3 linked regions of the Macaca mulatta genome follow. The protein of the gene in region 2 interacts with the protein of the main gene of each other region in a pairwise test. Links are inferred from orthologs where the notes say so. Each region holds a gene or a part of one and is shown on either strand. Other genes may lie near its edges. The genes, in order: E2F1, NDN and APBB1IP.

Region 1 (3,727 bases), on a different chromosome or scaffold from region 2:
GTGCAGTAGCATGATCATAGCTCACTGCAGACTCGACTTCTCGGGCTCAAGCAATCCTCCCAGCTCAGCCTCCCAAGTAGCTGGGACTACAGGCACGCGCCACCATGCCTGGCTAATTTTTGTATTTTTTGTAGAGACGGGTTTTCACCATGTTGCTCAGGCTGGTCTCAAACTCCTGGACTCAAGCGATCCACCCCGCCCTCTGATTACAGGGATTCCAGGCGTGAACCACCGCGCCCAGACGACGCTTCATGTTATTGTAAACGTTTGTTACCTTTCTGTTCCCGTCTACTAGACTGTGAGCTCCTCAGGGCCACGAGTTAAGGATGGGGCAGATTTAAGGATGAGGCACAGAGCAGGCTCTTCAAACGTTTGTTGAATGAGTGAGGGAATGAATGAGTTCAGGCCGACGCTTTACGTTGGCTGTTGGAGATTTTGGCTAAAATGGGACTTGCAGGAAAGCTTGACGTCCCCCCGCCATTTCTAGCCACCGCTCTTCAGCTTGGGCTCTGGGTGAGCGGGATAGGGCCGGGTGCAGGATTAGGATAATGTCATGGGTGAGGCAAGTTGAGGATGGAAGAGGTGGCTGATGGCTGGGCTGTGGAACTGATGATCCCGAAAAAAAGAGGGGGCAGTCTCTGGAAATCTAAGCTGAGGCTGTGGAAGGCTACAGGTTGAGGGTCACGTGCAGAACAGAGGCTCTGTTCTGAACCTGCACTATAGAAAGGGCAGTGGGATGCGGGAGCATCGGGGCGGGGCAGGGCGGGGCCCGTGTTCCCGTGTCCCCACGCCTCCAACAGGGGACGCCCGGGCTGGGGGCGGAGAGTCAGACCGCGCCTGGCACCATCCGGACAAAGCCTGCGCGCGCCCCGCCCCGTCATTGGCCGTACCGCCCCGCGCCGCCGCCCCATCCCGCCCCTCGCCGCCGGGTCCGGCGCGCTAAAGCCAATAGGAGCCGCCGCCGTCGTTCTCGTCACGGCCCGGGCAGCCAATTGTGGCGGCGCTCGGCGGCTCGTGGCTCTTTCGCGGCAAAAAGGATTTGGCGCGTAAAAGTGGCCGGGACTTTGCAGGCAGCGGCGGCCGGGGGCGGAGCGGGATCGAGCCCTCGCCGGGGCCTGCCGCCATGGGCCCGCGCCGCCGCCGCCGCCTGTCACCTGGGCCGCGCGGGCCGTGAGCGTCATGGCCTTGGCCGGGGCCCCTGCGGGCGGCCCATGCGCGCCGGCGCTGGAGGCCCTGCTCGGGGCCGGCGCGCTGCGGCTGCTCGACTCCTCGCAGATCGTCATCATCTCTGCCGCGCAGGACGCCAGCGCCCCGCCGGCTCCCACCGGCCCCGCGGCGCCAGCCGCCGGCCCCTGCGACCCTGACCTGCTGCTCTTCGCCACACCGCAGGCGCCCCGGCCCACACCCAGTGCGCCGCGCCCCGCGCTCGGCCGCCCGCCGGTACGGACCCCAGGGACGACGCGCCGACAGCGCCTCCTGTGCCCCCCGCGCAGACCCGGGAGGGCGCCGTGTTTGGCCTGAAGGCGGCAGGGGGCGGGGGAGGGGTTGACTGAGGCGCCCAGGCTGGGCGGTGCAGAGCCGGGGTTGGGCCTGCGGGCCCCGCCCTGGGGTGCGGGGTGACCTCGGGCCGGTCCCTGTTTGCTCCTCTGTGCTCTGGGCCTCAGCTTCCTCACTGGAGGCTCCGCAGCGTCAGACTCAGTGATAATAATAACCCACGTGTATTCAACTGGCGTTTACTGCATGCCAGGCCTTCGGCCGACTTCAAGTCAGCTAAAACTCACAACCCCGCTGTGAGCTGTGTTGTCACTGTGCCCATCTGACGGAGGAAGAACTGAGGCCCAGAGAGGGGAAGTGACTTGCCCCTGGTCATACGGCTGCAGGTGGTGGGGCTGGGATTTGAACTGAGGCCTGCTGGCTTCAGCTCAGAATTTGCATCTCGGTAGTGAGCACAGCTGCTAGGGGAAGTGAAGGCGGGGCGGAGGAAGGTCCTGGGGCCTAACCGTTGGTGAGCCATTGAGGAGACCCTCCTTCTGCCTCGATGCTGACTGCCAGGTGCAGGCCTGGCTGGCCAGGCCTCTGGGGACAGCCCTCCTGGCTGGGAGGCCTTCTCTGCAGGGGCGGGGCAGCTGGACCAGCTGCAGGTCCCCTCCCTCTGCCTGTCCTTCCATCTGCCACCCTCCACCCTCCCAGGCCCTGGTTGCCATGGAACCTCATTAATCAGGCAGGCCGACCCCTGAGTCTCTGTAGAAGGACTAGGTGGGCTGGGCCTCTGGGAGCTGGAGAGGCCCCCAGTGCCAGGAGAGAAAATGTCCCAGGGAGATCCTTTAATAAAGTCCTCCCTGATCGCTGAGCTCAAGACCTGTTCAGACTGGGGGGCCCAGAAGAGGCGGCTGAATTACAGTGGGAGAAGGGATTGGAGGTGTAGAGCTGGGACCTGTGGGGCGCAGGGCAGGGTGTGGAGACCAGTTTGACTGGCGCAGCCTATGGGTGAAGGTGGGGCTCTGGTGTGCAGGCGGGGCCTGGCCAGGCTGGATGGGGTCTCAGCAGGGAGCTTGAAGCAAGTGGGAGGGGTGAGGCAGGACTCAGGACAAGGAGGTAGAAGCTGCCTAACTGCTGATGGGGGTGTGGGTGGCAGCTGGTCCCTGAGGCATCCTGAGGAGGCTCCCCCAACCCCCTTGGCCCCATGCCCAATGCTGCCTTCCGGAATCACCACAATGCTAATAATAATAACAATAGCAGCCACCATTGTTTTGAGGATGTCTTGTGTGCCAGGCTCTGTGCCAAGCACTTTACCTAATTAACTCATTTAACCCTATCAGCAGCAGTCCCTTTTTACAGATTGGGAAGCTGAGGCCTAGAGATGTTAGAATCTTCCCATGTCATTCTGCTCTTGAGTGGGGAGACCAGTCTGCATTTTCTGTGAGGTTGACCTCTGGGACGCCTTGCTTCCTAGAGATGCTGATAGAGGTTGGAGAAAGGGCAGGAAGGGCTTTTAGGGGCCCTTCCTCTTAATGAGTGGGTGGGAGGGGTTTGTACCAGGGGTGGACCAGGTGGCCTGTCTCCTGTACTCCAGGGACCTGTCCCTGTGGGTACCGCTTGGGACCTGGGCAAGCATCTTCCATTCAGTTGTGTGACAAGCATATAGCAGGCTCAGGTCTGCAGAAACCTAACAGAACCCGAGGGTCTTGTCCTCAAGTAACTGAACAGGATTATGGGTTCTAGGATCAAAGGGAGGGACAGGGGCAAAGAAAAATGCCCTCCGCGCCACCTGTCAGGGGCAGGCTCATTGGCTTGGGCACTGCATTCATTCAACGGTTGTTGAATTAGTGAATGCCCAGGAGGCACTAGGCACAGAGACAAGGAGCCCCGGCTCCCAGAATACGTAAGGGCCAGGAGGCTAGCACCATTCTGGAGCTGAAGTCCAGAAAGTCCACAGGTTCGGCTTTTGGCCTCTCTGCACTGGCATTTGTCTGGGGCAGTCCTTGAAATAAGCTACAGGCTTAGCTTCTATACTAGCAGGCATTCGTTGAACACCTGTATATAACGCTCTGTGCGATTTGGCCATTCCTCTTGGCCCTGCCTGTCCACTTCCACAAACTCAAGTATTATAACTATAATACGTGTTTACTATGGAAAACTTAACTTTTTTTTTTTTTTTTTCGGAGACAGGGTCTCATTCTGTTACCTAGGCTGGAGTGAAGTGGCGTGATTGTGGCTCACTGCAACC
Region 2 (3,750 bases):
TTACCCTGGTGAAGTGGGAAGCTAAAGAGCCTGTTGGAAGGACTGGTGTGGGAATGGCTCTGCCAAAAGTGTTATGTGCATGCAAACCCAAAGAGAGAGAGCACAGAAAACCCTTCAACATCAACCTGCTTGAGGAAAAATAAAGTGACAAGTGGGAAAAGATACATACTCACAGCGAGGACTCTAGACATGTTAAGACAATTTTTAAATGTGCTTTTGGCTTCGAGTGGCAATAATTAGACTCAACATATTTAAGAAGCTACTGATGAGAAGAAACGCTGGAAGCGCTGAAGGACCACATCAGCCCAGACCAAGGATGCTGAAGCAGCATCAAGGCCCTTGGTTTCAGAGGCTCCACCAATGACCCTTTTTTCAGGGAGACCCTGTAGGAGCGAGTTTTGTCTTTGCCCAGTGGGAATCTGTCTTCTATACTTAGAAAACAGGGTTACCCATGTTGCCCCTGCTACCCTTGGGTCATCTCAGAGACACTACCAGATATTACCTATGAGACCTAGTTGTTTTTTTTTAAATCTCAGGAAGGACTTGGGTGTGGCTTCCAACGTGGAGGACTCAGTAGCTTCAGAGAGGGTCCTGGGAGAAGGTGAATCGGAGAATAAGGGTGCTGGGCAGAGGGAAAAAGACATTATTATACAAGTTTGTGCTAAAAGATATAGCAATCCTTCTGCTGTGGACTAAGTATGGAAAAAAATAAAATGGAATCAAAGTGACCCAAAGGAAATGTAAAACTCAAATTTATGCCCACTAAAGCATTAATGATGCTCTAAGTCCGCTGCCTACTTAAAAGGTTCATAGTTCACATGGGTTGACAGGAAATTACGTTAAGGACACGCTGCATTTCTCCTTTTCTTACAACCCCTCTGATTTGGTAGGGAGGGAGTCAATCATTTTTTTATTGGAATTTCTCAGGATTCCAACTTCAGACATACACTTTACACATTTTCTTGGACAAGCCCGACTGTTCCTCTCACTCGTTCGCATAAAGCTCAAGTTTACACAGCCGCCCAGACCTTTCTCTGGGACGCTCATATTTAACTTAATTCTGGATATATCAGGTAAGCGTTTCCCAAGAAACTTGACCCCAACATCCCAAAAACTTAAGTTATCATCTTTCTCCTAAACTGGCCCCTTCTCCAGTACGCATCCATCGCACTCTTCTCCTGCCCTAGATCCCCTCAGCCCAAACGGGAAACCCCGGGATCGCTCTCTCCGCAGGTGAAGCTTAGCCAGGGACCCTCCCCGTCGGGGCTCCGCGCTGCCCCGCCCGCCCCCAGCCGCTGGCCAAGGCCGCAGTCGCGCAGGCGCAGTGCCGCGTCCCGCCGCCGCCCCGCCCTGCCCGCCGCTGCGGAAGGCGCCGCGCACAGCAACGCGCACTTCCTCTCCAGGAATCCGCGGAGGGAGCGCAGGCTTGAAGAGCTCCTGGACGCAGAGGCCCTGCCCTTGCCAGACGGCGCAGATATGTCAGAACAAAGTAAGGATCTAAGCGACCCTAACTTTGCAGCCGAGGCCCCCAGCTCCGAGGTGCACAGCAGCCCTGGGGTTCCGGAGGGGGTTCCTCCGTCCGAGACCCTGGCAGAGCCGCAGAGCCCTCCTTTAGGCCCGACGGCCGCCCCGCAGGCCGCGCAGCCTCCCCAGGCCCCGAGCGACGAGGACGACCCGAAGGCCCTGCAGCAGGCCGCGGAGGAGGGCCGCGCCCACCAGGCCCCGAGCGCGGCCCAGCCCGGCCCGGCCCCGCCAGCCCCGGCGCAGCTGGTGCAGAAGGCGCACGAGCTCATGTGGTACGTGCTGGTCAAGGACCAGAAGAAGATGATCATCTGGTTTCCAGACATGGTGAAAGATGTCATCGGCAGCTACAAGAAGTGGTGCAGGAGCATCCTCCGGCGCACCAGCCTCATCCTCGCCCGGGTGTTCGGGCTGCACCTGAGGCTAACCAGCCTGCACACCATGGAGTTTGCGCTGGTCAAAGCGCTGGAGCCCGAGGAGCTGGACAGGGTGGCGCTGAGCAACCGCATGCCCATGACAGGTCTCCTCCTCATGATCCTGAGCCTCATCTACGTGAAGGGCCGCGGCGCCAGAGAGAGCGCGGTCTGGAACGTGCTCCGCATCCTGGGGCTGCGGCCCTGGAAGAAGCACTCCACCTTCGGGGACGTGCGGAAGCTCATCACTGAGGAGTTCGTCCAGCAGAATTACCTGAAGTACCAGCGCGTCCCGTACGTGGAGCCGCCCGAGTACGAGTTCTTCTGGGGCTCCCGGGCCAGCCGCGAAATCACCAAGCTGCAAATCATGGAGTTCCTGGCCAGGGTCTTTAAGAAAGACCCCCAGGCCTGGCCCTCCCGATACAGAGAGGCTCTGGAGGAGGCCAGAGCTCTGCGGGAGGCTAATCCCGCTGCCCACTGCCCTCGCAGCAGTGTCTCCGAGGACTAGCCAAGTCTGGAGGCAGATGAATGCTTTCTGATCCTCACCAGGGCTGTGGAAGGGTGGGGGTGGGTCATTAGAGTGTTCAGGATTTACAGTGCAGTATTCACGTGTAACTTTTACGTTTTCAGTACAGTGCTTTTATACCTTTAATGCAATGTTGTGTTCATTTGGGTACTATTGTGTAGTATTTAGGATGTATGCATGTTTGTTTATATGTAAGCTTGGTTGGTGCTTTCGCTTTTGTGGTACCTTTCTTGGATTTTTGTATCAGAGACGTGCTAAACTGATGAAGTACATTGAGAACGTTTCCATCTTATTAATTTACATGGGACTGAGATGTGTGTTGGGGTAGACTGCTCCTGCAGAGTTTGGAAAAACTCACCAGCAAAGCCGGCCTAACCAAGAAATGTCAAGGCCCTCATGACCTTGCTGGGGACTGAAAACATCCTCGTGGAGTAAACTAATTTGAACTGGACTGGTCTCAATGTGAGAGCACTTGGCACACTTTACTAAACACATATACAACCCCACCGTGAGTCAACTTTAAAGTAAACATTAAAGATTCTTGTGATACAATCATTTCTGGAAGTGTACGTTATCATTTTAACAAAGCAGTATGGTTGGGAATGAGACAATTCTCTGTTTTACAGTATACACAGATATAACTATTTCCCCTAATGGGGTGGGAAAAATCGCTACTCATGATTACTCCTAAATTTGTGAAGTTTGTAGTTTTGTCTTTAACTCATGTTTATTTCAAAAACATGCACAAATATAGAAAAGCATAAAAAACAAAACAGTAAGATTGTCCATAATCACATCCTATGGGAATAAAAACCAAAAATAATTTCCTTCCCTTAAGTTTCTACATTTTATCAAAATTAATAGATGCTTTGTGGGCACTTAAAGAGTGAGACATTGTACATGAGCCCTGACGTGTATTTTTCTCCTTTTATCTAATCCTCACAACAGGCCTGTCAGGCAGGCAAGAACTGCCTCTGCACCATGGAGGAAACACAGGAATAATGTAGGTAATGGACTTTCCATAGCTCATACAGGTTAATAAGAGAAGGCGCTAGGACTAGAACTCACAATGAATCCAGAGTCCACATTTGTCCCCACCTGCCTTCAACTCCCCTACACCCTGTGGTTTTTAGGTTATTTATTTTTAACTTTATATTGAAATTTCATGTGGGAGCCCACACTCACATGGGTTCATGGGCCACACATACAAAAAGGCTAGGAATTTTATTTTTCTAATTCTTAGGATATTTTGGAGAAAGCAATATCATTCTGATTCTGCAAATTAAGAAA
Region 3 (3,650 bases), on a different chromosome or scaffold from region 2:
CAAATTTAGCCTTTTAGCCTCACTACATCATAACAGCCGCATGCTTTATAATCAATTCAATTAAAATTAAAATTTAATCAATATTTCAGTTTAATTGTAGTCATCTCAACTGACGCTTTCTAAGCACTAACTCAGTGCCTGGTATCACAACACTGACAATGATAGGAGCAATGATACCCAGACACCCAGCAAGATATAAACACAGTGATGTTACATCACAGTAATAAGACACTATTCTCATTAAGGAAACAAGATGTACACATGTGGTCTAATTTGGATACGGGACAAGACAATTAAAAACTACTGCTATGTATGGAAAATTAAATTTGTATGGAATTAGATTAAGAATAGATTTGTTTTGTCTTCACTTTAAAACACTGCTAAAATGAGTTCAAAATATTTTGCCCAGGCTGGGTGCGAGCCTGTAATCATGCTTGTAATTCCATCACTTTGGGAGGCCAACACAGGAGGATCACTTAATCCCAGGAGTTTGAGACAAGTCTGGGCAACATAGTGAGACGACTGTCTCTAAAAAAATTTAAAAATTAGCCAGGCATGCTCGTATGTGCCTGTAGTCCCAGCTACTTGGGAGGCTGAGATGGGAGGATTGCTTGAACCCATGAGGTCGAGGCTACAGTGAGCTATGATCCTACCACTGCACTGCAGCCTGGGCAACAGAACAAAAGCCTGTTTAAAAAAAAAAATAATTGCCCAAAGTCATTCAGAGAGTCAGTGACTAATTTCAGAATAAAATCTATTTCTATCCCATTCCCCAATTCCATATTACTCAATTCTATATTCACAAATTTAGCTAATCTTTATTAAAACATTTCATCTCTATTGATAAATTTAGAAATCTTTAATATATTAAAAATCTATTAATAACTAATATAATAATTCAATTTATTAAATTTGCTTTGGAAATTACTAATATAAATATTATTATGGAGGTTTTGTCCCCAAAATTTTTATAATAGAGTAAAGGTTTATATGTCAACAGTCACAATGTGATTGATTACATTAGAAAATTATAAATATGCTTCTTTAGTTCTATATATATTTTCTCTGAAAACATTTTAAATTAATTTAACTTGATTTTATAAAGAAATTATATATAAGCTGGGCCTGATAGCTCTCACCTGTAATCTTAGCACTTCAGGAGGCTGAGGCAAGGGGATCACTTGAGGCCAGGAGTTCGAGACCAGCCTGGTCAACATGGCAAAACCCTGTCTCTACTAAAAATACAAAAATTATCGAGGCAAGGTGGTGCACACCTGTAATCCCAGCTGCTCGGGAGGCTGAGGCAGGAGAATTGCTTGAACCCAAGAGGCAGAGGTTGCAATGAGCTGAGATCATGCCACTGCACTCCAGCCTGGGTGACAAAGCGAGACTCTGTCTCAAAAAAAAAAAAAAAAGAAGTTGTATATAAAAGTGATTTACAGTAAAATAAACTCTTTTTTTTGTATTTTTTTTTTTTTTTTTTTTTGTATTTTTAGTAGAGACGGGGTTTCACCGTGTTAGCCAGGATGGTCTCAATCTCCTGACCTCGTGGTCCGCCCGTCTCGGCCTCCCAAAGTGCTGGGATTACAGGCTTGAGCCACCGCGCCCGGCCAAAATAAACTCTTTTAACACATTGAGGAACACCAAACTTTAGTCCCAGTACTGTAAACTAGCACTACTAGCATTACTGTAATATGCTGTGTGGCGTTTATGATGATGATGTCTGACAATGTATCCTTTCACAAAGCTTATTTGTTACTGAATAGGCTTCATTCCGGCTGCTCCCATTTCCTCAGTCTGGTTCATCATACCTATAGCAGCTAGAATTCTCCTCATGGATCACTTCCTTCCTGCCCATCCTTTGTTCATTATATTCACCATATCATATATGCCTGATCATCAAAGTACTCCACCAGGACTACTCACTGACACCACCTCCACTACACCACATGATCTAATCAATGTTCAGGATCACACAGATTACCATAGTAATCCCACACATGGAAGAAATCCTAAGGTGATCTCCCCTCCCTCCCTCTCACTCTGAAAATTTTTGTCTTTCCTGTCTTTTAAAAGTTAACTCCCAGCTTACTATCTTCATTAAGTTTCTACCATTTAATCCCATAATTTTTTAATTCCTTGCCACCTATGGTGCTTTAATTTCTGCTATTTATCATTAATTGCTCTTGGCTGGGCACAGTGGCTCTTGCCTGTAATCCCAGCACTTTGGGAGGCTGAGGTGGGAAGATGGCTTTAGCCCAGGAGTTTGAGACCAGTCTGGGCAACATGGCGAAACCCTGTCTCTACACAAAATACAAAAATTAGCTGGACCTGGTGACATGCACCTGTAATCCCAGCTGCTTGGGAGGCTGAATTGGGAAGATCGCTTGAGCCTGGGAGGCAGAGATTGCAGTGAACCGAGATCACACTATGGCACTCCGGCCTGGGCAATAGAGTGAGACTCTGTCCCAAATAAATAAATAAATAAAAATTTTTAAAAAATTGCTCTTTCTCCGAATGTGAAGTTTTCTACAGTTAGGTGGTGAGCCTATAGAAGCTCCATCTTCACCCCAAAGTAACAGGCACATTAAACCCCAGTTGCTTGAAATCCAGTTTCTTCTAAATAGCAGCAGTACTCTATTTGCCCTCCAAATGCTTAGGGAAAACTCCCCTTCCATCCATTTCCAATGCTCTCCCCTCCCCTACTTTTCTAAAACTCTGAGATCTTACACTATAATATGCAAGGATTTCCTACTTAAGCATCTATTCGTGGGCTTGGATTTGACTTTATAGCTGGTGTGTCAGGTGCCCCAGTGTAGAGAACACATTTCCTCCATTTATTTTCTTGGTATTAGAAGCTCACTCGGATTAACCATGCAACAAATGCAGCAACAGTCCTTTAGGAATTCCTATACTTGTGCTATTGAATTAAAATATTCTCAATCTTCTCATTATATCATAACCAATCAAAATAAGGATTCCTTTCTACTCAAATATTATGCTTAAAAATTATCTTCTTTCTGTTTTTCCAGATGCAAGTAGTTTTTTATACCATTAATGTGATTTTCCCTACTAGAGTCCTTAAATGCACTGGAAGACCAAGACTTAGAGGCTCTCATGGCAGATCTGGTAGCAGACATCAGTGAAGCTGAGCAGAGGACAATCCAGGCACAGAAAGAGTCCTCGCAGAATCAATATCATTCAGCATCTCTACAGGCATCAAATTTTAGTGGTGCAGCCCCTCTTGGTCATGGAACAAATGTTGCTGCCACTGGTATCAGCCAATATGAGGATGACTTACCACCTCCACCAGCTGATCCTGTGTTAGACCTTCCACTGCCGCCACCACCTCCTGAACCTCTCTCTCAGGTAAGTGCGTGGGACCAGAGTCGGCAGGGCCATCAGCCTCTGCTACCTATCACTGATGTTCTCTGAAGTGATCATTACATTCCAAAGTTTGTGCATCCAAAGATCTGACATACTAAAAAACCAAGATACAGAGCATGCTCGTTGCAAAGCTAGAACACTGCGTAAACAAGCCACATGGGTGTATATCAAGAATGTATTAGGGTCATATTCAGGATTTACTATAGTTTGCTTAAAAAATATTTGTATGCAAACACTCTTTGATAAAACTCAGTCTTTTGGGG

Evidence for each region.
Region 1: the proteins of NDN (region 2) and E2F1 interact in a two-hybrid assay, tested with the Homo sapiens proteins (2 studies listed by BioGRID). The link is inferred for Macaca mulatta from reciprocal best matches to the Homo sapiens genes NDN and E2F1.
Region 3: the proteins of NDN (region 2) and APBB1IP interact in a two-hybrid assay, tested with the Homo sapiens proteins (2 studies listed by BioGRID and IntAct). The link is inferred for Macaca mulatta from reciprocal best matches to the Homo sapiens genes NDN and APBB1IP.

The regions. Positions count from the first base shown.
Region 1 is NC_133415.1:86,457,550-86,461,276, reverse strand, and holds the start of E2F1 (transcription factor E2F1), read left to right. Parts: upstream 1-805; 5' UTR 806-1,179; coding exon 1,180-1,440; intron 1,441-3,727. UniProt on the Homo sapiens protein: Transcription activator that binds DNA cooperatively with DP proteins through the E2 recognition site, 5'-TTTC[CG]CGC-3' found in the promoter region of a number of genes whose products are involved in cell cycle regulation or in DNA replication.
Region 2 is NC_133412.1:6,264,439-6,268,188, forward strand, and holds NDN (necdin), read left to right. Parts: upstream 1-1,362; 5' UTR 1,363-1,476; coding exon 1,477-2,442; 3' UTR 2,443-3,283; downstream 3,284-3,750. UniProt on the Homo sapiens protein: Growth suppressor that facilitates the entry of the cell into cell cycle arrest.
Region 3 is NC_133414.1:27,928,210-27,931,859, forward strand, and holds part of APBB1IP (amyloid beta A4 precursor protein-binding family B member 1-interacting protein), read left to right. Parts: intron 1-3,076; coding exon 3,077-3,369; intron 3,370-3,650. UniProt on the Homo sapiens protein: Appears to function in the signal transduction from Ras activation to actin cytoskeletal remodeling. Suppresses insulin-induced promoter activities through AP1 and SRE. Mediates Rap1-induced adhesion.